7 linked regions of the Bombyx mori genome follow. The main gene of each other region encodes a partner of the protein of the gene in region 6 in a complex. Links are inferred from orthologs where the notes say so. Each region holds a gene or a part of one and is shown on either strand. Other genes may lie near its edges. The genes, in order: splicing factor 3B subunit 2, protein CWC15 homolog, U4/U6.U5 tri-snRNP-associated protein 1, BUD13 homolog, G-patch domain and KOW motifs-containing protein, small nuclear ribonucleoprotein Sm D3 and splicing factor 3B subunit 5.

Region 1 (4,680 bases), on a different chromosome or scaffold from region 6:
AAAATCTGAGAAGTGGATGAGGAGAGCCGCCGACCGGGCTCAGTGGTGTAGATTGGGAGAGGCCTATGTCCAGCAGTGGACGACTGTGGGCTGTTGATGATGATGATGATGATGATGAAAAAAAATCTGTTTTATATACTATATTTCGAGTAACTGTGTCAATTAACATAGAACAACTTTCCGAGAATTTTAACCTTTCACAGACGTGTACCATCACCCTGTCTATTTCTGCTACGAAGCGATAATAGGTTCCGATTGGTACTGCCTAGACGTTGCAGCCAGCTAATATGTTGAAATGGTCTCCACAATCGCGCGTATTATGAAATAAGATGTTATCCACAACAATCGAGACTTTTTGGCGGGAACGCGAGGAGTGAAGTTGTGTGTTTTGTTTTATTTTGTCTATTTAGTGTTTCTTCATGTTTAAATGTGTAATAACAGTAGTTTATTAACTGTTTAATATATGTGAAAGTGCACAAATGTAGGAAAATGAAACAAAGCCGTTGCGGGTTTCATTTTTATTACACGATATTATTCCTTCACCGTGGAAGTCAATCGTGAACATTTGTTGAGTACGTATTTCATTAGAAAAATTGGTACTCGCCTGAGATTCGAACATCGGTTCATCGCTCAACACGAATGCACCGAACGTCTTATCCGTTAGGCCACGACGACTTCAAAAGAGAGATTATATTTCACCTCATTTAATTTTATTTCATCCCAGTTTTTTTTACGTCTCAAATCAATCATCTTTATTTCATTTCACTCTATATTATCATTTTTCATAAAAATAAGAATATAAATTAAAATAAGACATAACCTAAAGGTCTTAGTACCCACCCACGTCATAAAATCCTTTAAACAAAAATCCACAACAATCCGACAACATCATTGACATGTTCACGTTAACGATACCTTCTGTGAGCCGGGCCCGACGGGCATACCGAGAGCAGTTCTCAGTTCCTCGGACAGATCTCCGGGCTTCTTCTCGCGCAGACGAGTCTCGAACTCTTTGCCTTCGTAGTACAGATCTCCGTGGATTGTCATACGCGGTTTTGTTTGCCATCTATAAATACAACAATATGAGAATCAAATATGATCTGAGTATATTATATTATTTTGAGTCCGCGCGGGTAGGTACCATCGCCCTGCCTATTTCTGCCGTGAAGCAGTAATGCGTTTCGATTTGAAGGGCGGGGCAGCCGTTGTAACTATACTGAGATCTTAGAACTCATATCTCAAGGTGGGTGGGGCATTTACGTTGTAGATGTCTATCGGCTGCGGTAACCACTTAATACCAGGTGAGCTGTGAGCTCGTCCACCCATCTAAGCAATAAAAAAAAATTAAAAATATTATAGTAATATCAACGAGCAACCCGTGTTCTCTAGAGCAGTGTGTATTAATTATGGTTGCAGTAGACTATAAAAAACAAAAGATTCATAACTTACCATTTCTCATGTAGAATTCATGTTTCACTTCTGAGCCTGTCCTGAGGTAAAACGGACCAGTTCTTACACTGGTGTATATGAGACCAGAATGTTTTTCTGATCCAATACGAAAAAATTTAAGATATGCAGGGAGAAGCTACACTAATGTTTTAAAGTGTATTTAGCTTTATTATCCGAATTCTAGGGAGACCGGTGTGGATAGCAAGTCGGCTTACCATGTCAGTGTTTATCCAGATATAAATACTAACCAGGTGTGATAGTTTAAGCTAGAAATTAATTATAAATGGCTAACTTCACACTTTCAAATTGTTGAAACTGACAAAGACAAAAGTACTATTCAAATTATTCTCAGATAATTTAACTCACTTGAAAAAGGCATCATGCAATTTCTGGTAGTCAATATCGATCTTGCCCAATTTCGGTCTAGAACGTTCCCTCATCTTCGCTTTAAGGGTTTTAGTCTCTTCTTTGTCCTGCAGCGATGCTCTCATTTCCATGATTCCTGTCTTCTTTATAAAGTCCGGTAGATCGAAGGGAGGTTTTTCTATACCGCGTTTTCCTTGCAAGTACTGCAATATAAGAACATATTGTTTTTTTTTGTTTTTCCCTAACAATATTACTCTAAGATGGAACTATTTTTAGTACTATGAATAAAAACATATTAACGAATACAAAAAACTGAATAACAAATATATATTCTAATTTTAATATTTAATTCTTTGTTTCTGTGTCTGTAACAATTAAATGCAAATCAGAAAATTTGTTTACCTATTCAAGCTGTGGCAACATGAAAATCTTTCTACCTGTTTTCTGGAGTCTATTTAGTTTTAGTTAAATTAGTTTTGATAGCGTTTCTTTTATCCTACTCACCTTCCTCTTGTAACACCAATGTCTGGGTACTTGGACAGTGTTCCTGTGTGCCTTTAGCTGGACAAGTAGTTTGGGATCCCGCGCGGTCACGTCGTACATTTCCACGACGTCGGGTCGAGCCACTAGCTGCTTCAGTTCGGCCACTGACAAACGCGACAATTTTTTTAGTTTGCGTTTTGATAGGCGCTCCTTTTCGTCGGCTGCGTTTTTCTGAGAACATTTATACAATACAGTAGTTTGCTAGCAGTTATGTGAAAGGTTCGTGAAAATTTTAATTAAATTTAATATTTTTATTGAATCGTCAATTAAAATTCTGATGTATGTATTGGCATTTCAAAGTTGCTGTCAAAGGTAGTGTTAGTACAGTAATTGCAGTGTAGTGTAAAATGTTGTTAAATCCAAAAGTGGAACAAATTTATTAGAAAGTTTTTATGTTTTTATGACTTAATTTATCGTTATGTATGTAAAGTTGGTAATTTTAAGATGAATTTGGTTATTTACATACCTCAGCTGCCTCATCATCCGCTGCGAACTGGTCTTGCACTTTATCCTGATGTTTTGTTGGTTTTGGAGCATCCATACCCTCATCTTTGATCGTCTCTTCCTTTTTCTCCGAAATTTTAAATGCTTCCAGTATCCGATGGAACTGACGGTACATTGGTTCCATTTCATGAAACTGTATGTTTTCTTGCACGTATCTGGTTAATTATTTTTTAAATAAGTATTTAATATGTAAGTTAAACTATCCAAAATTGGATGGTACGAAATTTGAGATATTGAAGGATACTTTTGGACCATTCCCAACTATAACTTAAGCAAGCTTTTATTTATTTATTGCTTAGGTGTGTGGACGAGCTCACAGATCACCTGGTGTTAAGTGGTTACTGAAGCCCATAGACATCTACGACGCAAATGCGCCCCCCACCTTGAGATATAATTTCTAAGGCCTCAAGTATAGTTACAGCGGCTGCCCATCCTTCAAACCGAAACGCATTACTGCTTCACGGCAGAAATAAACAGGGTAATGGTATCTAACCGCGCGGACTCACAAGAGGTCCTACCACCAGTAATTACGCAAATTATAATTTTGTGGGTTTGATTTTTATTACACGATGTTATTCCTTCACCGTGGAAGTCAATCGTGAACATTTGTTGAGTACGTATCTCATTAGAAAAATTGGTAGCCGCCTGGGATTCGAAAATCGGTGCATCACTCAACACGATCTTCACCGGGCGGTCACCGGACATCTTTTCCTTTAGGTCACGACGACTTCAGCTACTGATTTCTATACGCGCTTGTCAAATGAAACCATATTCTAACGCAATTATTTTATTATTATTTACCAAAAAAGTTTAACGTTAAGCAGAGAGCAAGTCGCGGTCAGAATAATTGAAATGACACAAGTGAACAAAAAGTGGTTTTCAGTAAACGGTAACAGAAAATAAAATCTTATAGTGCAATTTAAAATATAAAAGCTTTTTTACACTCACTCAATATCTGCTTCTTTTTCATTTTCTTTGTCACTGGATCTCTTTTCTTCTTGTGCGTTGTTCTTTGTCTTAGACTCTTCATTGCGTTTCTGTTTAGCCAGCTTCTTTTTCTTTTTCTTTCTTTTGTTTTTATTGGATTTGCTAGCTTGGGACTGAGGAAGTAAAATGAGAATTAAATAAAATCTTTATTTCTTAATCTTGTAACGCAAGTAACATGTTTTAAAAAAATACTTAAATCAATATTATGAATACGATGATGAATTTTCATATACACAATAGTATTTACGATCATTGAGTTTATGGTTTTTGGATTATAAAGTCTGGGTCTTTGCTTATACTTACAAAAGATTTTAAGAGAGTTAGAGATTAAATGTATATCTTTTATTTTGTTTTTTTTCTACACAATATTTTTAGTCAGACTGTACATAAACAGTATCTATAAAAGAATAGGAAATGTAAGAAATATCCTTCCGGTTTTCAAAGTAAACTTGCTTGTATGCAACAATATTCAGATCATAAGCTTAGAGAGTAATATGTTTGATATCATATGAATAATATGATATCTAGTGTTTATCGTTCACACCTGAAAAATAAGGGCATTTCAATATTTCTAACTCAATGAAATATGTATCCTATTTTTTTTTTAAGGTTATTTTGCTTGCTGATAACTAATATATACTTTAATAAAAAGTACCTCTTGTTTGGAAATTACTGGTGGCATCGGTGGATCAGGAATGTTTTCATCGTCTGACTGTTCATCCTCTTCCACGTCATACTCCGTACTGATCACTGGAGCTGGCGGTGCTTCCATGTCTTTTTGCACATCTGTATAGGGGCAAAACATCATTATAAGGTACTGTTTAATGTGCT
Region 2 (4,844 bases), on a different chromosome or scaffold from region 6:
TTATTGCTGATACTTAACGTGGGTTTCTAATAATTTTACGAACTATGCCATTCGAAGTAAGTACTGCTAGGGCGGCTCGGCATGGCAAGTAAATAAAAAAAAAGGTAAATAAACCATTGCATAGTATTATGTTCACATACCTACGTATATTGTTTTCGTTATTGTAATATGGTGAAAACAAATTTTAATTAACATAAAATAGCAATGAAAACAAAAAATAACTTACTTTTGCTTTGAAAAGTCATAATTAAATCACTTTCATCAATAGCTTGCTGCTCATCACCGCTGAGAGCCATGTCAGAACTACGTGTAGGGCGTGCCTGTTCGTGCTCCTCAGCCAGTTGCTTATAAACGTCCAACAGGAAACTTGGAGCCGAACGATCCAAAGGTGGAGATTTAGATCTTCTGGGTCTTTCTCCTAAGCCTAAAAGATCTAAAATTTCATGTTCTACTACCATGCGCTCGTGTCGTGTAATCGTATGATGAATTATCGTCTGATCAACACCATTGTCAATGTAAAGTCCGGAAAGTATGGCATCGGTGACCACAGTAAACAATGCAAAACACGCACACACCAACTGCACAAAACCAGCCATATTCGTTGTGAGAGCGTCTGCGACTGGCTAGTGGCGAGTTAACGAGATGTGAGACGCGTCATGGCCAGCCGCGGGATCTAGCTGTGGACCTGCCCACTCAAGGTAGGCCGCCGCCGCCTGCTCCGCACTTACCACTGCCTCCCCTCTCACGCCTCACTCACAACGCCGCAATAATAAAAACATTCAACTTCGCCGGACACGTCAGTCTGGTCAGTCCGAACTCCGAATGTTAATAAGTTAATTTAATAATTATTTATTACTACCATTAACAATGCAGTTATGTACTTTAACGGGTGGCGTATTGATTATCAAATCGGGGCAGTAAGTTTGAATTTTTTGTAAATTAATCTCTTTAATACCTTCCCTAATTTAGTTTGGATACCCCAACTACCAAGATTTTTACCACTGAAACTCAGAAGTTGAGTCTCAAATTTCGAACCCGAAAGCAATGTTCGTTGTTATATGAGTAAATTAGACACATTATGCTAATGAACTGACCTCTATCTGTTGTTGAGGAAACAAACATTACTTTTTATCAGTAACGTGACATTAACTTGAAAATAAACTTTATAAAATACTATTTGTTTTCATATAATTTATTCAAAACAACAAAATGACATTTTTTTCATAATATTTACTAAAATTATATTGGTTTTCGTCAATCTTTTCTTTACGTGTTTGTAATATCCATAGTAGCATTTCCACTTCGTTATCACTATTCCGCTTACAATAAGGTATAGAATCGCTTTTAACAACTTTAAATTTAGAATTACAATATCAATAATGATTTACTATTTCACGTACTTTTCCATAAATTTCTTATGGAACTCTGATCTTAATGAGTCATTTATAAAAGTATTAGGTTTCTTTTCCGGTTCAGAACGAGCGCAATTTTTGAAAACAACGTCATCATCCCATCTTCTTTTTACCTGGAACAACCCAAAAAAAATATAGATATAATATTACGATTGTCCTTTTTTTTTATTTGCATAAATGGGTGTACGAGCTCACAGCCCACCTGGTGTTAAGTTGTTATTGCAGCCCATAGACATCTACGACGTAAATGCGCCACCCACCTTGAGATATAAGTTCTCAGGTCTCAAGTATAGTTACAACGGCTGCCCCGCCCTTCAAACCGGAATGCATTACTGCTTCACGGCAGAAATAGGCTAGGGGATGGTACCTACCCGCGCGTACTCACAAGAGATCCTACCACAAGTCGTTACGCAAATTAAAATTTGCAGGTTTGATTTTTATTACACGATGTTATTCCTTCACCGTGGAAGTCAATCGAGAATATTTATTGAGTACGTATTTCATTAGAAAAATTGGTACCCGCCTGGGATTCGAACACCGGTGCATCGCTCAACATGAATGCACCGAATGAGTTATCCTTTAGGCCACGACGACTTCTTAAATTCTTCTTAATCGACCCTCATAGATGAAGGTTGTGACTCTCATAACTCAGTCAGTCTCTCTCTAATGATATCATGTAGAGGCCTAATGACGAGTTGTGCTGAGTGGTGCCTCTGGGCGTTCCAATACCGGATTCATCCAATGCTTGAGCAGATTATGTTAATGTTCTTAAAATCACTTTCAATTACTTTTGCATTTTTGTATGGTATTTATTAGTGGGTGTACAAAATCACAGTCCCTGTGGTGTCAAAACAGCAACCAGTGTTTATAGAACCGAAAATGTAAAATAATGAATCAACCAAAGTCTAAATGAAATTATTTAATAGTCTTGAATCCTCAATATCTGCCGCTACATATGCATAATGAAAGGAAAAATAATTTTTTTGTGCATTATTAAAGTATTCCCTGTGGAGTATCAATGATATTGATTCAAATACAAGTAAACCGAAAACAATAGCAACAATACGTTTTAATAGTTATTTTTATAGCATAGATAGGTGAACAAACTTATGGCCAACCTGGTATAAAAGGGTTATCTGGTAGTTGTCAGTATACTTCACCAATGAGATATCAAAACAGATACTGATTGAATATTATTTGCACATGTTTCAATACACATCATATTATTATCATATGGCAAGGATATCTAAAATACCAATACACAACAAAAGCTCTGAATAATTATAATCTAAGTGAGACCCAAGTTTATAACCACTTAACACCAAAAAGACAATGCTAGACATACTTGGAAGAATGAAAAATAATATCTTGAAACAGATTTGAAAAGTACCATAGTGTACCAGAACAGAAACATACAACACATACATAAACATACAAACACATAAATATGCCATAAAAAAAGTAAAACACAGATAGTATTGTTACTATGGAATAACAAAATAACAAAAACAAAACACCAGCAAAACAACAAATGCCAATTAAAAGATGCATTTAAATTATTTATCAAGATAATCCTGGTCAATGTGTAATTTAATAATGTAGTATCATGAAACTGACTAGCCAGAATGAAGAACTTGTACTACAACAAATGAATACCTACCCACTGCAGAAACTAAAGGTCATCTACACTTTTTTTATTCCTTTGATGGGTGAATTAAGTTCATGGCCCATAGAAATCGACATCTTAAATGTTGTCACCCACTATGAGACATGAGTTCTAAATATCAGATTTTATACCAAACGAAAACACATTACTACCCCATTCTACTGCCATTCATTAAGCAAATTATAATTTTGGTGGGTTCGATCTTTATTAAACACTATTTGTTCATGATGGAAATCATTTGTCAATTTACGTTAAGTATATATTTCATTACCATTGGTACCTGTCTGCAGGATGAGAGCACCGGCACAGTCACATAGCTTTATACAAATGCACCGGGAGTCTTTATCTTTTAGGGCACAATTACTTCAACATTGATAAATACAACATCAATGACATCTGCAGTTCAGTTCAATCACCAAACAGTTATCAGGAGTTAAAACAAAATTCATTTTAATGTTTTTAATTACCTTCATGTCATTCTTCTGTCCTGCAGCGGAGTAGTTGAGTAAAGGATTACCCGATAATATGTTCTCCATTCTAATTCTTTCCTCTTCTTGTTTCTTTTCAGCTTCCTATAAGGTAAAACAAAATTGATTTGTGCAACAAGGTTTATTTGTTATTTGAATTTTATTTAGTTTGGGTATCAAAATACACTAAAGTACACTAAAGTTAGACAAATTAAAAAAAATATATATTGTAAAATTTAATTTAAACATACTTTGTGTACATCAGTACAAAAATAGTCTTATAGTATAGTATCTAACTCTAGTATCTAAGATATATCTTACTTTTTTAGCTTGTTCAATGGCCCTTTCCTTCTTAATTCTGTTTAATTCTGCTAGCAATGCAGCAGTATCATCATCTGAATCATCAGAGTCAGTGGAATCGCCTTCAAGAGGATCATCAGCATCAAGACTTGCTGCAGGAACTTGATCAACCTTAGTTCTTTTTGCTTGTGGTTCACTTGTACGTTTTGTAGTCGTAGTTTTAACATCTTTTTCTCTATCATCCAACTCCTTACGAAAATCACGAGAGCGTAATTCCTCAGATGTCCCTTGACCTGATTCCCTATTAAAATAGATTTTAATATTTGACTTTTTCTTTACATTTTGGTGCATTACAAACGTGGTATTTATGCTTTGAACGAGTTATACATTGTGGTTTTGAAGGGTAGCGTATTTTCTAAAACAATAATTCAAGTACTCTACCTTGTCTCAAGATGGCTTTTTATGAGGTCCGTTAAGCACTTACCACCACGCGGGTCGTAAGTCCAACTTCGCGAATAGGAATCCAAATTTAGATCGAGAAATAAAACTAAACTAACCTGTATTTAAGTTTCGTATGACCAGGAAGATCTCTGCTGGAATACTGTCGAGAAATAGCACTTAAGTCTTTCTCTCCTCGGCCTTGACCACCTCTTGCAGGATCAAAAGTGGGTCTAGCAGCTGTAGTCATAATGAACGCTGGTGCTGACTTGATGAACGGTGATTTTATGTCTTGCTATTGTGCTTGTATACATTCAAAAAACTCTAGATGATGTCAGAGACATTTAGCATAACAGTAGGTAGGTTTGTAAACATGCAATAGTACTTTTATTGCAGAGTGGTTATTTACAGAAATTGGTATCAAGTACTACCTATTAATTATCTCTTTGTCGATTTAAGTGAGTTCAAATTAAGACAACTTAAAACATTGAATTTAATAACATCATTCACAGACTTGTGTATTTAAGCAGAATCGAATTTAATAATCTATTAAATCTATGA
Region 3 (3,717 bases), on a different chromosome or scaffold from region 6:
TCGACTCGCATCAGCTGAAGGATGACGAGACTAACCATTCTCGAGGAGACAGTGAAGATCGGGATCGCCGCATGCGTGCTTTGCATCGGCCAGAGAAAAATGAATCTGAAGGGTAATAAACTAAACTGAACATTGACTGAAGTGACTACTTCTTGAACTCTTGTACTTATTTATGACCTTGCAATGATTAGTAACATCTTCTTTTCTGTATCTATCTAATCATACACAATTTGATGGGTAACATAAGTATTATTATAATTATAATTCCACTGGGTAGGTTTGTTAGCTTATCTATCTTGAAATTACATTACGAACTATTTTTATTACTTTTTATAGGGACAAGAGTGTTGAGTATGAACGTGAGAAAACCAAGTCTCCAGTACAAACACAGAGTGGTGGAGCACAAGAGAGCTTGTCCATTGAAGAGACCAATCGTCTACGAGCTAAACTTGGACTTAAACCACTTGAAGTCAATGAGAAACCTGCTGGTTTGTAATGTAGTTTTATCGCTTTTGTAATGTTTTTTTTTTATTGTGTTAATATATTGTATTTTATTTAATGTACAGACTATATCACGCATAACGAATTTGATGTGTTATCTTTGCCAACAATAAATAAACAAAATAAAATTCAAATTTTTTGCCATTTTATATGTTTTTAGTCATTATTTTACACAAATTGTTCAGGTTAATATTTTCATAAGATAAATTTAATAGGTATATTATAGCAAAATTACCCACTGCTTACAAACTTTTAAATAGATTGATCTGTATCTGTCTATGTAGTGGAATTAATTACAAGTGTCAAGCCCCAACAAATAAATAATTTCACTTAGGAACTTTAAATTCTTTTTTATTGCGTTGATAAATTAACGTATTATATTAAAGTCATTAACAAATCAACATCAAGGTACATATAGCTTTTATTAATATTGTGTTCACAGTTGTCTTCCGACCGCGATCACTAACTAAAACTTGCTGTTTAAGTGTGAGTTCTACTATGGTTTTAATCCATTCACAGATGATGGTAAATTCAAAGATGACCTTGGCGAGTTCTACCATAAGCCGGCTACTAATATCACTGAACAGAAGAAAACAGAAAAACTCAAAGAGAAAATAAAAGAGCGAAAGGAGAAGAGGAATATTGAAGAGAAGTATGAAATACTATATTTTTGTTCCATTGATTGGCTTGAATTTTTTGATATTATTGTAATAAACGATAAAATATTACATTATATTGAGGAATAAGTACTGTTTGAATAAATGATCATCATAATAAGAACCAAATGAAATAAACTGGAAATTAATAAAAAAAAATTGTAATATAATGCATAATTTCATTTAGATTACAGACTACCCTACTCGGTGAAGGGTCTGACGATGATGACGCGTCGGCCTGGGTGAAGCGCTCCAGAGCAATAGAGACGCAGAAGAAAGAAGCTGCAAAAAGGGTGAGCATACAATAAATGCATTTTTTAGCTGCTGAGAACAAAAATCAAAAATCAATAGTTTTATCAGTTTAGATCCATGACCTAAACACCACAGAGACAACATAAGATATTAATGTGAAGCATGTGTGTACGCAGGCGGCCATGCTGGACGAGATGGACGCGGCGTTCGGCGTGTCCGCCCTGCTGCCCCCCCGCGCGCCCCCCGCGCCCGCCCCCTACCGCGCGCCCAGCCTGCGGGGGCTGCGGGTCGCGCACCAGCTCGATGCGGTACTCACACCTTCCCACCCCCCATATATTAATGGGAATACCAGCAGGCTATTTGATTTTGTGGTCATCCAAAAAATTTAATAAAATGCGAAATAATTTAGTTCTGTACTAATCACAGGTTGGTTTAAACTTTGAGCATTTCAATCACGCGTTGATTATTTTCGTTTCACGATTTCTAATCTCGTGGCGACCACACGTGTTAGTTCTAAATACTACATGAAACAAAAAAATCTGTATTAATAGATCTATAATCTGTACAGTTGGAAGATGAACGTGAAACCATTCTAACGTTGGCTGATAAAGAAATATTAGCTGAAGACCCAGAGGATGTGCTCATCAATGTCAATATTGTTGACAACGAGCGATACAAGAAGGTAAGATAACTGTTTTTACTATTTTACTTACATACATCAGTCAGTGAAAGACCATAATAAATGATATAATGGGTTTTGTTCAGAACGTGGAAGAACGCAAGAAGGCGCGCGCCGGCTACCAGGCTTACGACGAGGAGGCCGAGCTGCAGGCCTCCCTCGGCTTCCGACGCTCCGTCCTCTCCAAGTACGACGAGCAGATCCAGCCCGACCAACTCGATAAGGACAAGGGCTTCGTCATAGGGGACGAAGCCTCTCTCGACGCTCACAGGCGCAGAGAGCTCTTGGTGAGGCCCGCGTCACGTCGCATCACGCCGCGTCACGCCACGCAGCGTCACGTCACGCCGCGTCACGTCACGTGGCGGTGCGTTAACGTAACTGTGTATGTGCAGCTCGCGCAAGGCCCCGCCTCTCGCCGCATGGAGTCGCTTGCGCTGCCGCAGCCGCAGCTCGCAGCCGACTACATGGACCAGCACGAGATCCAAGCCAAGTTCAAGAAGACTAAGAGAAAGGTCAGTGGCCCCGCTCGTCGAGCGTCGCGCCGGCGCGGGCGGACCCGTGTGTACGTGTGTGTTTGTGTGCAGGGCAAGATGCGGACCAAGCCCAAGGACGAGCCCATCGACGCGGACACCTACGACGCCGCCGCCGCGCCACTCGACACCGACGACACAGGTCTGACGCGTCCTCCAGTCTTATATATATGTAGTAGTTTAATCTCACGTTTGCATGATCATCATATTATTTCAGCCCCGTTTCGAATAGTTTGTCGCCGCTGTGTCGGCGCGCCCTGCTCGTCCGCATTTAATGAATTATTAAAGTTCTTATAAAAACTCGATACATAACATACATATTTTTTTATAATTTACATAATTCTGATTATTTCAAACTTTACAACAATCCTGTTCCTTATCGACCTAAAAATGTAAGTAAAAGCGGGCTGTGCCCTAAAAACTAGTTATCAATCGACCTGTCGTCCCCTCCGCAGACGTGCGGGCGGGGGCCGCGGCGCTGGTGGTGGACGAGGAGGAGACGGAGCCCGACACCGAGCTGCACGCCGCGCTGGCCAGGGCGCGCCGCCTCAGGCTCAAGGAGGTGCAAGATGCCGCTGTGCCTAAGGTATCTTATATATTTCATAGATTCAAAGGTTCACTGGTAATAATATAATCGCATTTGAATGTCATTAAAAAAAATATTTATTAGATAAACAACTGTCGATAGTAAAATGTTTGCCGTGAAGGGTCACCTGCTACACCCGCCTGACTCTATTTTTTGTTGTACTGAGTGCCTGATGTCGTAAATAGGTTTAGTTCTAAAACTTGGTTCGGTTCAGGTGGAAGAACTCCTGGAGCGCGTGAAGGAGGAGCAGGTGGAGGCGGGGCCGGAGGGCATGCTGTTCGACGCCACCGCAGAGTTCTGCCGGACCCTCGGGGAAGCCCCGGCGTACTTCGCCAAGCAGAACCCGCACTCGCCGGTGAGTGCTGCCCAAGGGACGCTGCGGACAGCCGGCCGGACGATACATGCGTGGCCGTCATAAGCTTCCCCAATTTTTGTAACTGAAACGCATGACAGTTTCCTGTGCTTCCCCGTGCGGGCTCACGAGACGTCTCCAGCTGAATTTACACGATCTCG
Region 4 (3,428 bases), on a different chromosome or scaffold from region 6:
ATATTGTGTTGACGGAGATCTTATAATGAAATACAGGCAATTAAATAGTTATAGATCAATATAGTATTTAAATATTATTATTTTTAAATAAATTTGTGTGTATCTTATATCTATTGGCTTTTTAAAAAAATAATAAAGTGAATATTTTGCTTCGTAAAAGTAATATATTTGTGTTTATTTATTTTTTAATATTAATATCAATTTACTGCAATAAAACATTTGTAAATCTAAATACAGATTTATATATTAACTTTGATAGTAACTTTTATATAAATTCTCAGTAAAAATAATCTTTTATCGCTAACATATTTGTTATAATTTTTATTAGAAAATTAGAATCGTTATCTACAGACAAGTATCAAAAATTTATCTATGTGTATTTAATTGTTACTTTTAATTTAATATCTACCACAAATCTATGTTAAATGTAAGAGTATATCAATTTGAAATCTTCCATGAAAAAACATAAGTGTTAATAATGTGTAGAACCTTATGTTAAGATGCATTAATAGAGTGACCCATTTGATCTTTTAGGTATTAGTAGTAATAACATTTTCTTATTTAAATAAACTGCATTGCATTTTGAGTAGCATTTGGTTTTATTTTATCTTAAACTGGTGTTAATTATTAATTTACGGTAGGCAGCGACTTGGCTCTGTCCCTGACATTGCTGAAGTCCATGGGCGACGGTAACCGCTCACCATCAGGTGGGCCGTATCGCCTGCCTACACTGGCCATAAAAAAAAGAAAGAAATAATCGGTTTGGAACTATGTATATATTTATTTATTAAACTTCATGTAAACTTTACATTGGCGGACTTAATGCCCAAGACATTCTCTACCAGTCAACCAAAGGTAGGTGCAGAGTAAATAATCTTGTGAATCCGCGCGGGTAGGTACCACCGCCCTGCCTATTTCTGCCGTGAAGCAGTAATGCGTTTCGGTTTGAAGGGCGGGGTAGCCGTTGTAACTATACTGGCCTACTGGAAGAGATTTCAACATGAAATAAGTAGTGCCCATGTACTCTGTATCCTTATTGTCGTGTTTCTTCTAACAGCTGTGTGTACAAAATATATTAAATAAATAAAACTCTGGGCTTAGTCCAAAATATAATTCATATCATTAATACAATATTTACATCAATAAAAACAAAATATACATTATGTATGTACTAACATTCCATAATTGAACAAATAATTTGTAACAATATAAACATCTTGTTGGTGAGCTCAAGGCTCAACTGATGTAAAGTGATTACCGGAGTTTATGGACATAATGAGAATGCCACCACCTGCCTTGAGACGTGAAGTCCAGTCTCATTGGTATTGTATGACTGCTGCTAACATTAGAATCTGAACACATGACGATTTGTGACGGAAATGGACGGAGGACTACAAAATAGCATTTTGACGGGTGAAAAGCTATTTAGTTTCAAGTGATATTTTAGCAACTTCACAGGAGAGCCATTACAAGTTTAATATTTGAAAGAAACTCTGAATGACATGACAAAAAAACTTCTACAGCTATTTTAATGAAGTAAACATAAATTTGAATTAGAAATAGTGTAAGAAAAAATGATTTTAAAAAAAACCTTGGGGTGCTTGGTATCAGTGGTTATAAATATTTTATGAATAGATATGAATAGAAGGGTTATTTTGATAATATCCTAAAAAGGACCAAACGCTTTTTTTTTTACAATAAAATAATTTTTTCTTACACTATTTCTAATTCAAATTTATTTTCTATTTTTTAGCTGGATTTTCTATAAAAGCGTATTTTGTTAGTTTTTTTTACACTATTATTGATTCAATTTGATCACAGACTTTAAACAATAACAAAAGTTTGACAATTGACAACAAACAAAGAGTATAGAGATATATGTATATGTTGTGTGTCAAACACATGGTAGTGTGTGTAATGTTTTTTTTATTGATTTAATGTATTTTTACATTTATTTCATTTTATCATTTTAAATAGAATATTTTTCAGGTATTTCAACTTTAAATTAGTCTACTGAAAAGTTCACGCATTGTCGCTTAGTCACGTTTCCCTTTCAAGCGTCGAAATATACTTTGAACTATATTTTCTTTTAACTAGCTAGTAACCACCTCGCCGTTACAAGTCCTCGGTACTCCACTTATAAGCTTCCTCCTCTTGAGCTTGCCTCTTGCTCTGTTGTTCGAAGAACTTCTTCTCGTAGCCGTTGGATCTGTCGACGCCGTCCCACCGGTAGCCGGGTCTCAGGTTGAAGCGGTTCGGAGGGAAATTACCTTTATATTTTGGGCGTTCTGCGAAAACAAAAAAAAAATACCAATAAAATATATTTTTTCATCTGATGATGGTGTTGTCAGTTACTCAAAATAAACTCCACAAATATGAGAAAAAGTTCTCATATTTGTGGAGCAATCTCAAGACTATATTTGATAGTCTACTAAACTACTATACTGCTACTACTATATACATATATCTTCTCTTACCCCCCACTGGACGGGGAATTCTAGTTTGGAACCCCACTGTCATGAGTGATTTATTCCTGATCATTTATTTATTTAACTAATTTAATTATAGGTACAGTGTAATAATTTATTAACATGTATAATATTTAAATATAGATCGTTTTAAGCATAATTTTAACTTAAGAATTGTAATTTTAAGAATCGATTACTCAAAAAAATAAAACTCATACAAATCTAAATAATAGTCATTTTTGTAATATATTATGTACATATATTAAAAATAGTTCAGTGAACTATGTTATTTAATACAAAAGTACATTACCTGGTGGTAAATTTCCTTCCTCTCTCTTCCTGTCCTGTATGTATTTGAGCATCGGATCTCCTGCCCTCTCTATCTGCTTGAGTCTGTTCTCCGAGTCTGCATCGTCCCGGTGTCGGGCCAGAGGTTTTGAGGCCTCATGCATGAAATCCTGAAGCCGTTCCTCTTGAGCTTCCAATTGTTTCAACCTGCAATTTACATACAGAGCTTTTATTATGAGAACAAACCTTTTATTTATTTATTTATTTATGTACACACAAAAAAGAAAACATAGTACAGAGTAATAGGAAAATTATGTACAAAGGCACTGCTTATTTCTTTAAGAAATCTCTTCCAGCAGACCTGCGAGAGGATTATGAGAATAATAATTAAAAGTGATGAGCGTGTGTAGGACAGCTAAAATAACAAATACAACATGAGAATTATAGTAATGCACATACACATAGCAAATATTAAATTTTAGCAAATATTTTACTAAATCGTGAAGGGAAAATTAATAATATTGAAGGGTGAAAGGGTATTTGTTTAAGAGACATTTTTGAAATATTACAAGAGAGCGATTTAATGTTTAGAATTTGGAAAAAATATCATAACAAAAAACTTCTTCGGCTATTTGTTTTTTTTTTATTGCCCAAGTAGACAGACAAGCATAC
Region 5 (4,680 bases), on a different chromosome or scaffold from region 6:
CACAGATATTAAGCAGTTAATACACCACCTAATACAAATTACACATTTAAACCTGAAGAAACACCAATTATACAAAATAAAACAAAACACACACCTCACTCCTCGCGTTCCCGTCAAAAAGTCCGCAGTACATAGATAATAACTACAAGACGCAGTCGTTTTAAATGGATCAAACAGGGCTGGATTTAGAGGTCTGGAGACCTTGGGGCAACAGAGGAGCGGAGGCCCCCTGGCACCAAATAATTGTCCAAATAAAATGAACAATTTTTTTCAGTACAGTTTTCCAATAAATAATTTATTGCGAAACCACGTAGATTCTCTTAGTATTTAACAAACACACTTAGATATAATCGGAGACAAGAAATTATCTGAAATTAAATTTCAGAGGAAGGAAAAGGTGTTTACTTGTCGGAATTTGAAAGATGTTTTTCCAAAGTCTCTATTGTGGGGGCCCTCCTCTAAATCTGGTCCAGAGGTCAAACTTCTCATTTCTGGACATTAAATAATATGGTATTGAAAATAAATGAGGTACATCTAAATGTAAGGCAATTAAGGCAGACAATTTTAATGATAGATTTATACCTATGTATAGACGTAGTTGAGAATATTAGATAAAAAAAATGGAATCAGAATCACAACTTTGCGGTTTTTTTCCTGACTGAACTTTTAAGCAGCTCGAGATTCAAGGGTTCTGAGATTAAACCGGTTAGTTTCAATTCTAAAGGGCCTTTTTCGGTCAAAACAAGAAGCGGAAAATAAAAAAATAAAAATGATGAAGATTGTAATTCATTTAAAGCTTATTTTCTATGTTTTTTATAATTCGGTGAACGATCCCTGTCTCTTTTCTTCTTTTTTCCCTTCCTCTTCTTATCGATATCTCGTTTGCCGTCCGGTGTAGCGCTACCTTTATTCTTTTTATATTCATCTTCAGAATCCACGCTTCTTTCACGCTTTTTCTTGTCTTTCTTCCTCCGCCTCCTCTCATCCTCTGATTGAGAACTTAAAGATTCGTTGCTGCTGTATCTTTTTTTGTGCTTCTTTTTCTTCTGAGATCTCTCTTCACCGGTGCTTGACGAGTCTCTCCTATGTCTATCCTCTTTTCTATTTTTACCATTTGACCAATCTTCTCTTTCACGCCTGTCGGTATGTTCATACTTTTCTTTCTTCGTTTCTCTTTTAGGTGAACTCTCTATATCTTTTTCTTTTGACGATTGAGGAACTTTTTCATCTTTCTTGTATTTTTCGTACTTGTCTGCATCTATAAATATTTACATTTTTTTATATTTACTAAGTGTATTGCTCTTGCAAAAAAAAAACAAATTTACATGTGAATGGTCCAAGTATTGTACCTTACAGGCCCCTCCGCGGAGAAAATACATTTAAATTAAACTTCACATTGTGAGAGAGTTCTTCAATAGAACCTGTGAAAAAAATCGTAATTAGGTTACAATACTTGGACATTTAGCCGATTATTGTAACTCAATTGAAAAATAAATGTAGAACTTATAATATATATAGATGAATCAGACCAAGCACAATTTATATATACAATTGTGATTTGAGTGTCATGACAAGACAATACTAGCCTAACAGGTGGTCACAACAGACTTCAACACTTTTATATTGTGTAATGAAACTAAATTCCCAAAATTTATAAAATTCCTTCCTTCTACAAAGTATTTTATTTTTTATTGCTTAGATTGGTGGACGAGCTCACTGCTCACCTGATGTTAGGTGATTACCAGACCCCATAGACATCTACAACGTAAATGCCGCCACCCACCTTGAGACATGAGTTCTATGGTCTCAGTATAGATACAACGGCTGCCACACCCTTCAAACCGAAACGCATTACTGCTTCACGGCAGAAATAGGCGGGGTGGTTACCTACCCGCGCGGACTCACAAGAGGTCCTACCACCAGTATTTACGCATTCTGGTTTACAGTTTGGTTATAGGCGTTCTTCAATGGTGACTTTGGTCTTATATCTTAAGATGACTGCTTTCACGCTGTGAAGCACTGCAACTTATTAAAACCAGACGGTTTATAAGCTTCACGGCTGTTTTAAACAAAATTTGTTTACATAATTTGTAACACACAAAATATTGTGTAACACACAATTTGTTGTTCACAAAATATTGTGAACAGATGGACCTGATTTTTTTTAATTGCCTTTGTAGACAGGCGTGCATTAGACCCACCTGATGATGAGTAATTACCGTCGCCCATGGACGTCAGCAATGCCAGGGGCAGAGCCAAACCACTACCTACCGTTAAGTATTCTTCACAAGTAGTAAATAGTCAAATTAGAAAGGAATATGGTGGCCTATAAAAAGTTTATAGTTGTCTAAGACTGACCAGATAAGGGCTACAAGAAATTGCTTCCTGCACATAAGGCACCAGACACAGGTAACTGACAGAAGTGTCACCGGATAAAACCCATCACTAAACACACAACGGTCACGACCATTCTGCCAAGAGATCAGAGACAAGGAGGACAGATGTAAATGAAAAAAAATTAAGTACTTATAACTTTGGATTCCTTGTCGAATTCGGACTTTGTGACCGGATGCATCATGAACTCGCTTAGATTGACAGTTTCATTTTTCATCACTATATTGACCATAGCTCTGCCGTTGTCTTCATCGAGGCTAAGCACCTGAAATGTTTTTGAAAATTGTATGACAAAAGGTGAGGTATCTTTATACATATCCTATAGGAGTTAGCATAGGAAACTAACGGCCGTCCGGTGTAGTGGTAAGTGACATGGTCACTACACAAGGGGGTCGCGGGTTCGAATCCCGCCAAGGGAAGATATTTGTATGGTAAATATAAATGTATTTTCCAGGGTTATGGATGTATATTAAATATATGTATGTGTATAATAAAAAATCTTACATTTATTTCCGTTATATGGACTTAACTCCGTTAACTTGTAACACAAGTTCTTTACGAACTTATCACCAGTTAACGTGGCGTGATTGTCAGTAAATATTTATATTTATTTATTTAACTCATTTTTTTGCCTTTGTAGGTCAATTTTTTGCCTGCCAGTTATTGGTCACAGTCACTCAAGGACATCAGCAACGCCAGTACTATAGCTAAGCAGCTGCCTACCGCAAATGACTTTCCTTAAAACTTTTTTTGAAGAATGTCATGTCGTAGCAATTAGAAACACAGTGGAGGGGACTTTATTCCAGAGTAATATGAGCCAGAAGGTACATGGCAAAAAGATCTCTGAAACAATCTGCTCCAGTCGCGAGCGGTGCAATGGTAAAAAGATGAAATGTGTGCTCGGAGTGCTCCTTATTATAACTAGTCAGGTCATAAGTATTGTCACACAGTAAAAACTTTTCTTTTAGAATGCTGGCCACAAAAAAGTTTATTGAATTCGAATTTCGAATTGTTCATGAAAATAAAAATGTATACTTTTAGAATTTTACTCATTTTTAAATATGGAGTGGACGCTTAAAGAAGACCGTGTTGCAGTTATTGCGTTGCATCGTTGCGGTTACGCGCCAATTCAAATTTTTAACATACTGAAAAATTTGAATATAACCAAAAGATTCGTTTATCGTACCATCAAACGATACAATGAAGACTCTAGTGTCGATGACAGGTCAAGAAGTGGTCGCCCTCGGTCTGTTAGGACTCCAGCAGTGATAAAAGCTGTGAAGGCGCGAATTCAAAGAAATCCCAAACGTAAGTAGAAACTGTTGGCCCTTCAGATGGGGTTAAGCAGAACCACGGTGAAAAGGGTGTTAAATGAAGACTTAGGGCTTCGGGCATATCGAAGAAAAACAGGACATCGTTTGAATGCTCGTCTAATGGACCTGAGACTGAAGAGATGCCGCGCTTTGTTGAAGCGGTACGCGGGAAAAAAATATCGGGAAATTGTTTTTTCGGATGAAAAAATTTTTACCGTAGAAGAGAGCTACAACAAACAAAATGATAAGGTGTACGCACACAGTAGTGAAGAAGCGAGCAACCGTATTCCGCGTGTCCAACGAGGTCATTTTCCATCCTCGCTCTTGATATGGTTGGGAGTTTCTTAATGGGGATTAACAGAGGTACATTTTTGTGAGAAAGGTGTAAAAACGAATGCAGTTGTGTATCAAAATACAGTCCTGACGAACCTTGTGGAACCTGTTTCTCATACCATGTTCAATAACAGGCACTGGGTATTCCAACAAGATTCGGCGCCAGCTCATAGAGCGAAGAGCACACAAGACTGGCTGGCGGCGCGTGAAATCGACTTCATCCGGCACGAAGACTGGCCCTCCTCCAGTCCAGATTTGAATCCGTTAGATTACAAGATATGGCAACACTTGGAGGAAAAGGCGTGCTCAAAGCCTCATCCCAATTTGGAGTCACGCAAGACATCCTTGATTAAGGCAGCCGCCGATATTGACATGAACCTCGTTCGTGCTGCGATAGACGACTGGCCGCGCAGATTGAAGGCCTGTATTCAAAATCACGGAGGTCATTTTGAATAAACTTTAGTGTCATAAGAATCTATGTTTTGTTAAGTTCATTTTGGTATATGAATGGTTACGTAATGAATAAACTTTTTTCAATTATTTTACATTAAACATGTGACAGAATTTATGACCTGACTAGGTACATACATAACAGAATACAAAGAAAAGTGGAGTCCCTTTATTTGGAGGCCTATTTGAT
Region 6 (5,429 bases):
GTCGTGAAAGAAGGGCAAACACTTTTGTATCAATAATATTAGGATGTATAAATAGGACGTGTTGCGATATATTATCGCGCCATGGCGCTAATGCTTTAACAAAATAATGTGTTAAATTAAAATCAATATAAACCATTGACTTTCTCTTAAAATGATTGAACTAATATTTTTAACTGTTACTAGTTTGAAATATCGGGTAGACATAAGAAGGGTTTGACAACTTTGATGATACAATTGATGTTTTAAAAATATTTTGTAAATTATATTAAAGTTGAGAAATATAACTAGGAACGCTCGATTTTTGTGGCCATCGAAATTTCCTACCGCAACAGTATCGCAACTTACACATCAGCGAACATGCATTATTGTATATATTTTATCTTGGCGAGTGGGGCCATCAACTTCATGTAACTTTAACCATTATTTACTTTACTGGTTACTGTACCCTGTGATCACTCAAGATTAACTGATTTTGCGGTAGGCAGCGGCTTGGCTCTGCCCTTGGCATTGCTGAAGTCCATGGGCGACGGTAACCACTCACCATCAGGTGGGCCGTATTGGGCGACGGTAACCACTCACCATCAGGTGGGCCGTATGCTCGTCTGCCTACAAAGGCAATAAAAAAATAAAAAAAAAGATTAACAGACAAATCTTTCAACAAAGTGGCTGATTCAGCACCCATCTGTTTAAAGCTGCATTCCACCAGCCCACCACCACGGTTCCTATTGCGTATTAGATTCAATAGAAGCGGAGGGGAATGTGTAACTAAAATTGGACAGCTCTGCAACAGCTGGTGCTGAGGTGCTGATGTGCAGTGTGAGCTTGTATGGTTAGACACCACTGTCCTGTGCGTCTGTACAGTGAAGCCGTCATGACTTCTATTATTATACTATCTCAGAAGCAGTAGTGGCCAGTGGAATTTGACTAATAATAATTATAGTTAGTTGACACTGCGTGTCTCATAAATAAAAACACTAGTTATTATCCAAATTGTTTTTTATTTGTTTTCAATCTTTTGATATTCACACCCACAACGACACATCCTATCACATATCTGCTGACAGTCTCAGTAAACTTGTTACACTGTTTGTAACTAATCTAAATTCGAACATAAAACATTCAAATTAAAAATATTTTGCATAAGAGGTTGTCGTGTCCTAAAGGATAAGATGCCGAGTTACACACATTTAACAAACATGCATGATTGTTGCAGGTTTTATGCTGCGAAGCATTCCAATTTGCCCATTAAGACAGCATTTATCCCAAACAGTACAACTGGGACTTTGATCTCAAACCTCATGGTAGGTGCAGGCCTTCATAAAGTCTATAGGCTCCAGTTACAGTGCAAAAAAATTCAAAATTATATGGATAAAACATTGTCAAAACTCGGCCATTGGTTAAGTTTGGTTTGTACAAGGCAGTTTATAATAACTTTTTATATTTAATTACAATAGTCACCCCCGCATAAACCACACATAGATATTTCCTCAAGCCAAAACAAGATTGAACTATTACCCATCATATGGACAAGATTTCTAGATTATTGGGACTGATATAAGGATAGAACATAGAGATTAAACATTGTATTGATTGGGAGTCACAATAAGTCACCATAGGGTAGCATCAGTGTGTAGTGTCTATTTGATCAAATGGTCCATGAGACCTAAGATGTGTAAAGCAGATTGAAGGGTGACCAAAATAAAAAAACAGAAAATCTGGAACAGGACCTTATTGTTACATTTGAGAACATAATAATAATCTTTGAACAAACAGTTGTTCTATTTCCAAAATTTGTATTTTTCTCACTTAGATATATCAATATATAAGAATGATAATGAAATAATTCCTTGACAATTGAAATATAAGACAAGTACAACTTAAGCTATCTAAAAAATATCTTAACGCTAGCGTCGAGATGGTCCTGACCCACCTTGCCAGCCTCCACGGTGGCCCCCACCTCTTCCACCTGCTCGTCCTCGACCAGCAGCTGAAAATTTCAAAGATTTGTATTTTACTTCTTGATTCCTCTAGATGTGTGAGTAAGCTTACAACCCACTTGATTAATGATTTACTGTGGCCCACAAACATCAAAATAAGGATGCTGGTTGGCATGATACTTGAGATGAGTATGAAGAGATACATATATTTGATCGCTCAAATGTATTGTAGTTACTGTCCAGCCCGTCAAATCAATTCACATTCCTGTTTAGCAACAGAAATTTGCCGTAATTATTTAAATACACAAGAATGGGTTTTCACAAATGTAATAGATACAGTTATTAGTTTGCATAACATTATGTAAAATAGGTTTTACTTTAGATGTGTGAGATTGTGTGCATTAGGTACTTGACATGGTCTCATCATTCACATATTTTCTTTAACCACCCAAAGTAAAATTGTCAATAACATATAGTTGAATGATTAGAAACAATTAACATTGGAACAAAATACTGATTTGATATTACAAAACTTAAAATTGCAAATTTGACATTGTATGTCTATATAAGCACTCAAGAATGAAAAATTGTAAAATATTCTCAATTACTATTAAAAAACTGTGACAAAAAATATCTATACAGGATATAAACAAACAAGACATTTAAAAAATCAAAGCTTCAAACTACCTATTTTTTGCTCATTTGACCCAATTGATCACTATGTATTCAATGCATTTGTACTAATTTTAATGAAGGCTATTTATTGATTGTAATTAAATGTGCTTATCTTTCATACTTGCATACGTTTTCTACTTAGAAATTTTCGTTTAATAATTTGGTTATATAGTGCAGTAATTGTTAAATAGACTTCACTCAAGTCTAATTTATAACAAGCCTAAAGAAATGGGTTGTTCTAAGCTAAAGATGTTTATTCTTTTTTAAGTCTTTGAATTAAACGAAATTAAGAACAATGCATATTCACAATTTCAGTGCTAGATGTAATTAGACTGCAAGTCAGACAGCACTCATTCATATATTAACACTCGTATGTTGTCTTGTTGATAATGAACACAATCACTACGTATGTGATGCGAGAGAACATTTAGGATACCTAGCTCGATAAACAAATCACATACACACTATTTTTATATTGTTCAATACCTTGGGCTCGCAGTATCGCACTCTTCCCTCGTCCTGCAGTAGGTTTATTCCCTTGTCTTTTGAACATTGGCGCGTTCTTCAACATGTCCGGTAATATTAAAAATCTGATCTTGGAACCACGGATGTACACATTCTCGAGCTGTGCAACTCGGCCATCTCTGTATGTGACTGTTACGAGAGTCATTTGGCAATTCATATTATCCTCAGCTTCAATTAATTTCCCTCTATAAACTTCACCGGTATTTGTTTCACAAGTCACTACATGACCTTCCGCCTCGTGAAGTACTTTAATAGGCACACCGATAGACATGTTTACGTTTTAGTTAAGAAAAACGTACGATAAAGGACAATAATTCAGTATTATTTCTTAGATTATTTACGATAAAAATGGGAAAGAATATTTCAAAAAAATTAGACGCTTCAAATCCATAGACATCTAATGTAATATGGCGGCGAGTTCCGTGCATAGACAATAGACATTTTTATTCATTCATTGACAGACAAAGACAACATAACCCATATTACCAAAAATCCATTATGATTTTTAATTCCCTTAGCATTGTGAAAATCAACTTTACTGGTGGTAGGAATGGTAGGATGTCTGCGAGTCCACAGAGGCAGACAACACTACCCTACCTATTCCTGCCGTAAAGTAGTACTACCTTTCGGTTTGAAAATGCAAGAGCATCGCAGGGTATAACTATTGAGATTTTGCAAAAAGTTAAATGTAATCTTAGTTAATTCCAACCATTTTTCTAAATAAATTACATTTCACTGTACATAGCCTAATAGACCTAGTTTCATTTGTAAAAAAAGCTAGGTGCTTAGGCTTTATGCTTGGGGTAGCAAGGGGGCGTGTAAATAGCCCTCCTGCGGCGGGAGCATATAAAGCGGGGTTGTAGAAAGGCGTGTAAATAGCCGTCCTAAGCGGTATGTGACAAATGTTTGTCACTTATAATTAGCGGAGCGGTAAAACTATATAGCGGTAAACAAAAGCTAGTAATCAAACTAAAGATATAAATTAAATACACATAAGCGAGCGGGCGGGCGAATGATTACACGAAGCAGCAATAAAATGGCAATAAATTAAAAGAACTTGCACTCACCTGTAGATCTTGCCAGTGACTGTCGTGCGGGCGTCGGCGATGGAAGCACGCGGGCGGCGGGAGGGGGTGACGAAGCTCACGTAGCTTTTCGTAAGCTCAAGCACCACACAATATACAAGTGCCGCCATCTAGGCAGCTAGCGGTAAAGCGTGATCGATCGGGTAGAACCACGCTTTGGGTAGTCGCGGTAATTAGTTACTGACAAACTCCAAAGGTGGCGCCATCCCAATAATTCATTAGCATCCCATTACTAAATCCGCGTGACCATCCTGCCCGCCTTGAAAGTTCGCAGGACTTTCAACAAATATATAAAGATACTAAGATAGGAAGCATAAAGCTTAAATAGCGGGAAGTTATTTGAAAAGAAACAAATTTTAATTAATAATAAGCCATCATGAATGTTTACGAGTAGAGTTGAAGCGGTTGATGACATGCGGTACTCTAATTTATTCTAGCGGTAGCGGATATAATTTTACAACTGGACGTTTAAGAAATCCAGATTTCGTTTTTACCAAAGCAACGCGTATAATGTTATCGGCACCTGGATACACCTCTTGTATAACTCCAAGTGGCCAGCGGAGCGGTGGAATGTCATCTTGATGAATAAGAACTACTGTCCCAACCTTCACGGGGTTATCTGATGTACACCACTTCTGTCTGACTTGCAACGTATGCAGGTACTCTAATCTCCATTTCCTCCAATAGGAATTAACCAAACCATCTAACAACGCTTTGCGATTAGTCAGACTCATCTGATTTGCGGACAATTCAGACGCGGGTAAATACTGCAAAGGAGTGGACATCAAAAAATGTGCGGGTGTGAGAATTTCGGGGTTGGGATCTGCGGATAAAAGACATAAAGGTCTGGAATTCATAAGACATTCTATTTGATTCAACACAGTTAACATCTCTTCGTAAGTGAGAATTTGTGCGCCTATTACTCTATTTAAATGAGTTTTAACGGATTTAATGTTTGATTCCCATAAACCTCCAAAATGTGGAGCCCGAGGCGGGATCATCTTCCAAATGATTCGGTATTTAGTTAATTCATCATTCCATGCGGATATAAAATTATTTGAAACTAGAAGTTTATACTAGAAGTTTTTAACTGAGCCTTTGCGCCAACAAAATTAGTGCCATTATCTGAATACATGAAAGAAACTGGACCTCGACGAGATATAAAACGTTTGAAAGCGGCAAGAAATGAGTCCGTTGACAAATCCGA
Region 7 (3,521 bases), on a different chromosome or scaffold from region 6:
GAAGAGATTTTGAAAAAGAAAATGGACGAATGGAGATCTTTATTAAATGGTCAATGAATACTAATTTGCATTTTACTTGGCTTCCCCTTTGAAAGATGAATGTATTTCCTAAATTTTACAGTTTTGGTGGTTCATTGTAATGTAACCTATTTAACAATTTTAGACATACATAATAAAAATATCAAAAAGAAGCTTTCAATATTTTAATAAGCATATGCATGATTAAAATACTCCCAGGTTATTTAAAGAATCTCTTAAATTACTTTATATTTAAACTACAGTCAAAACCGTTTACTGCGACATCGTTTAGAACAACATGCCGGTTATAACAACCTAGAACAAAGGTCCCGGCTGAATGCCATATGACCGCCTTATTAAAAATATTGCTTTCTACGACATTGGTAATAACGACATACCTCATAAAACGACCACATTTAACTAATATTTTGGAGAATTAGATCTGTTAGAACGACCGGCTAAGCTATATTGTAAACAATTTGAATAGGTATCCACATTTGTCTTCAATGGCTATTAAAATCAGGAAAGAAAACAATAGGATTTAGTTTAGTGTAGGGTCTTTTCTAATTCTTAGAAACAAAACACGTGCATGCAGTAGAGTCAAAGACCGCTTCTTCATATCTCTTCAGTTAGTTTATTACTTATCTATACATAAAACGCACCAAAACTTTGTGGAGTTATTCGTGAAACTTTGAAAATGTCGCAAAGAAAAAGAAAACAAATTAATATTGAAGAAAAATCACGTATTTTGTAAATATATTTTTCCAATAATTCCCTATCGATTTGTTTGTACTTGCACGATACACATTAAACATTACCGGTTGTTACGACTATCGGTTTTTACGACTGAATATGAGCAGTCCCTTCGATGTCGTTATAACAGATTTTGACTGTATATATATAAGGCTAAATGGAAATCAAAACTGATTTCTTTGAGATAAAACAATATGAAACAAGTTTGTATATAAAAATAAGATTGTCAAACATTTGACCATTGAACCAATTCTAAACTATAAACTATACCTGTTATTAAAATTTGTAGTTTTTATTGATAATAGTTGAGTTTTTGGTGGTACTATTTGAATAGACTAATTGTGTTTGTTAAAGGTTATAGAAATGAAAACAAACTGCTCGAATTTATGTCATGATAAGGGATTCAAAGTCAAATAATAAGTAAATTAGCTTAATTCTATTTTTAAAATCGAAGCGTTTAATCTTCAGGCTTTTCTGGCGGTGGGCCGCATGGTTGAAGCATTCGTTCCATCAAATTGAATTTTACGCGCGCTTTAGATTCATTTTCTACGATCGCAAAGTAACTCAACAAATCCGGATGACCCATGTAACTGCAGCAAGAGTCGCGATGTTGGTTCATAAGCCATTCATATTTTGTAGTGTCGGCGTGGCCTGTGCCTATATATTTGCTCTGTAGATGTTCAAGTTGACTGTGAATGTTGTATCTTTCACCCATTTTATTCTGTAAATTATTTTAAGGTTATAGTTCGAGTTAGTAATGTCATTAATGTAAAATTAAATGGTTATAAAATAAATAAAACGTTTCTAATAAAATATACACACTTACTTTAAAGGCAAGATGCTTGTTGAAATCGTATAGACTCTAAAGTTTATATTCTAATTCAGCTAATATTGATATCACGTAGCAGCCCAAAACAAAGAGTATTCATAGACAATACATAAATTGCAGTGCAGATTACTGCAGACACGGCGTATCTAAACCATAGATACAATACTTAACGTTGAAATCTAAACACCAAAGGTTGTGCACAGTTTTTTTTATTATTTCTTTCACTGCATCTTTCACAGTAAGTTCTTAGATCTGTTTACATATCATCTGGTTTTGAAATAAGCTTTCATCTTTTAACGAAGCTTGGGAAGAGCCCCGGCAGTGGAATTAGTCTTAGTCTATGCTTCTGACGTTGACGTTCATCAGAGACGATCGCCACTTATTATTAAGTGGGACAGATACTCGTTTGCCGATAATGCTGACCAAAACAGTTGAGTACAGCTGTGTTGTCACATTTTCCTATACTTGTGGACTTTTAGAGATACTAAACGGTTACAATTTTTCATTAATAGCACGTTTCAACAAACAAAAAAACAGTAAGTTAACAAAATTAACTATTAACTACACTTCTACAGCTCACGCAACAAAGTTATTAAAGCAAAGAGGTTAATAAAAGATAAAATAAAAAGTAAAAAAAGGTAAAGGAAGGATAGAAGTCGTCGTGGTCTAACGGATAGGACGTCCAGTGCATTCGTGTTGAGCGATGCACCGGTGTTCGAATCTCAGGAGGGTACCAATTTTTCTAATGAAATACATACTAAACAAATGTTCACGATTGACTTCCACGGTGAAGGAATAACATCGTGTAATAAAAATGAACCCCGCAAAATTATATTTTGCGTAATTACTGGTGGCAGGACCTCTTGTGAGTCCGCGCGGGTGGGGACCACCACCCTGCCTATTTCTGCCGTGAAGCAGTAATGCGTTTCGGTTTGAAGGGTGGGGCAGCCGTTGTAACTAAACTTGAGACCTTAGAACTTACTATATCTCAAGGTGGGTGGCGCATTTACGTTGTGGATGTCTATGGGCTCCAGTAACCACTTAACACCAGGTGGGCTGTGAGCTCGTCCACCCACCAAAGCAATAAAAAAAAACCCGTGAGATATACATAATTACAACCACGCTAGATCAGCTGCATCTATCATGGAATCTTAAGCTCATCATCATCATCATCATCATCATCAACAGCCCACAGTCGTCCACTGCTGGACATAAGCCTCTCCCAATCCACACCACTGAGCCCGGTCTGCGGTTCTCCTCATCCACTTATCTTAAGCTCACAGGTATTTTAATTAAGTGTATTTTCTATGCTCACAGTTACATATCAACTTAGAGTACTTACAAAGTACACTCTAGGGTACGTTGATATCGTCGTATTTCTAAACTCTTTGGTATGTTGTTATGTTGATTAATTGATCAATTTAAAACCAGTTGCCATAGAAAATACACTACCGTGTTTATTCAATATTTTTGATAAACTTAATAACCAGAAGCCAGTCATTACTGAGAGAGTTGTTTTTATCAAGATATACATTTCGTAATTCTGTTCGCCTTTAAATATTCTCTATTCAGAATTATTGTTATTTCTGACAAGTTATGAGCAAATTACCGAAAGAAACAGAGCTTAAAGAAAGTGAAAAAAATATTCGCAAACAAGCAAAGCAAATTGTAGAGCGAAAATATTCAAATGTTTTCAAAAGACCAACACATTTATTCATGCACGAAAAAAACATCTCCAATATCGTAAGTATTTCTTGATTTTCTGCCCTGTGTTTGTGTTTTTATGTGCATAGTGCCATGAGTGATAGGTATTAAATAAGACAATAATAATAATTGGGACTGATTGTTCACGGCAGGAATAGGTAGATTGATTATACCTACAAATGTGGGTTTCGAATATACCGAATAATCCATGCAATGA

What was found.
Region 1: small nuclear ribonucleoprotein Sm D3 (region 6) and splicing factor 3B subunit 2 share a complex: the UniProt entries of both Homo sapiens proteins name them as parts of the minor spliceosome. The link is inferred for Bombyx mori from reciprocal best matches to the Homo sapiens genes SNRPD3 and SF3B2.
Region 2: small nuclear ribonucleoprotein Sm D3 (region 6) and protein CWC15 homolog share a complex: the UniProt entries of both Homo sapiens proteins name them as parts of the minor spliceosome. The link is inferred for Bombyx mori from reciprocal best matches to the Homo sapiens genes SNRPD3 and CWC15.
Region 3: small nuclear ribonucleoprotein Sm D3 (region 6) and U4/U6.U5 tri-snRNP-associated protein 1 share a complex: the UniProt entries of both Homo sapiens proteins name them as parts of the U4/U6-U5 tri-snRNP complex. The link is inferred for Bombyx mori from reciprocal best matches to the Homo sapiens genes SNRPD3 and SART1.
Region 4: small nuclear ribonucleoprotein Sm D3 (region 6) and BUD13 homolog share a complex: the UniProt entries of both Homo sapiens proteins name them as parts of the minor spliceosome. The link is inferred for Bombyx mori from reciprocal best matches to the Homo sapiens genes SNRPD3 and BUD13.
Region 5: small nuclear ribonucleoprotein Sm D3 (region 6) and G-patch domain and KOW motifs-containing protein share a complex: the UniProt entries of both Homo sapiens proteins name them as parts of the minor spliceosome. The link is inferred for Bombyx mori from reciprocal best matches to the Homo sapiens genes SNRPD3 and GPKOW.
Region 7: small nuclear ribonucleoprotein Sm D3 (region 6) and splicing factor 3B subunit 5 share a complex: the UniProt entries of both Homo sapiens proteins name them as parts of the minor spliceosome. The link is inferred for Bombyx mori from reciprocal best matches to the Homo sapiens genes SNRPD3 and SF3B5.

The regions. Positions count from the first base shown.
Region 1 is NC_085131.1:3,906,096-3,910,775, reverse strand, and holds part of splicing factor 3B subunit 2, read right to left. Parts: intron 4,636-4,680; coding exon 4,505-4,635; intron 3,963-4,504; coding exon 3,811-3,962; intron 3,018-3,810; coding exon 2,825-3,017; intron 2,530-2,824; coding exon 2,320-2,529; intron 2,019-2,319; coding exon 1,816-2,018; intron 1,067-1,815; coding exon 916-1,066; intron 1-915. UniProt on the Homo sapiens protein: Component of the 17S U2 SnRNP complex of the spliceosome, a large ribonucleoprotein complex that removes introns from transcribed pre-mRNAs.
Region 2 is NC_085110.1:8,227,938-8,232,781, forward strand, and holds the end of protein CWC15 homolog, read right to left. Parts: 5' UTR 4,534-4,844; coding exon 4,403-4,533; intron 4,147-4,402; coding exon 3,867-4,146; intron 3,651-3,866; coding exon 3,546-3,650; intron 1,526-3,545; coding exon 1,388-1,525; 3' UTR 1,177-1,387; downstream 1-1,176. Other genes in the region: protein 60A, read right to left, coding at 227-596. UniProt on the Homo sapiens protein: Involved in pre-mRNA splicing as component of the spliceosome. Component of the PRP19-CDC5L complex that forms an integral part of the spliceosome and is required for activating pre-mRNA splicing.
Region 3 is NC_085118.1:17,268,322-17,272,038, forward strand, and holds part of U4/U6.U5 tri-snRNP-associated protein 1, read left to right. Parts: coding exon 1-112; intron 113-336; coding exon 337-488; intron 489-1,020; coding exon 1,021-1,153; intron 1,154-1,344; coding exon 1,345-1,450; intron 1,451-1,585; coding exon 1,586-1,717; intron 1,718-1,977; coding exon 1,978-2,091; intron 2,092-2,174; coding exon 2,175-2,375; intron 2,376-2,480; coding exon 2,481-2,600; intron 2,601-2,672; coding exon 2,673-2,760; intron 2,761-3,073; coding exon 3,074-3,204; intron 3,205-3,418; coding exon 3,419-3,559; intron 3,560-3,717. UniProt on the Homo sapiens protein: Plays a role in mRNA splicing as a component of the U4/U6-U5 tri-snRNP, one of the building blocks of the spliceosome. May also bind to DNA.
Region 4 is NC_085130.1:5,574,701-5,578,128, reverse strand, and holds the end of BUD13 homolog, read right to left. Parts: intron 2,964-3,428; coding exon 2,779-2,963; intron 2,289-2,778; coding exon 2,116-2,288; 3' UTR 1,098-2,115; downstream 1-1,097. UniProt on the Homo sapiens protein: Involved in pre-mRNA splicing as component of the activated spliceosome. As a component of the minor spliceosome, involved in the splicing of U12-type introns in pre-mRNAs.
Region 5 is NC_085127.1:6,319,896-6,324,575, forward strand, and holds the end of G-patch domain and KOW motifs-containing protein, read right to left. Parts: intron 2,660-4,680; coding exon 2,527-2,659; intron 1,422-2,526; coding exon of another isoform or gene 1,351-1,421; exon of another isoform or gene 1,350-1,350; intron 1,259-1,349; coding exon 798-1,258; 3' UTR 769-797; downstream 1-768. UniProt on the Homo sapiens protein: RNA-binding protein involved in pre-mRNA splicing. As a component of the minor spliceosome, involved in the splicing of U12-type introns in pre-mRNAs.
Region 6 is NC_085122.1:327,815-333,243, forward strand, and holds small nuclear ribonucleoprotein Sm D3, read right to left. Parts: upstream 3,597-5,429; 5' UTR 3,409-3,596; coding exon 3,099-3,408; intron 1,988-3,098; coding exon 1,905-1,987; 3' UTR 979-1,904; downstream 1-978. UniProt on the Homo sapiens protein: Plays a role in pre-mRNA splicing as a core component of the spliceosomal U1, U2, U4 and U5 small nuclear ribonucleoproteins (snRNPs), the building blocks of the spliceosome.
Region 7 is NC_085126.1:5,965,081-5,968,601, forward strand, and holds splicing factor 3B subunit 5, read right to left. Parts: upstream 1,758-3,521; 5' UTR 1,598-1,757; intron 1,493-1,597; 5' UTR 1,487-1,492; coding exon 1,229-1,486; 3' UTR 1,150-1,228; downstream 1-1,149. Other genes in the region: uncharacterized protein LOC101736097, read left to right, coding at 3,197-3,343. UniProt on the Homo sapiens protein: Component of the 17S U2 SnRNP complex of the spliceosome, a large ribonucleoprotein complex that removes introns from transcribed pre-mRNAs.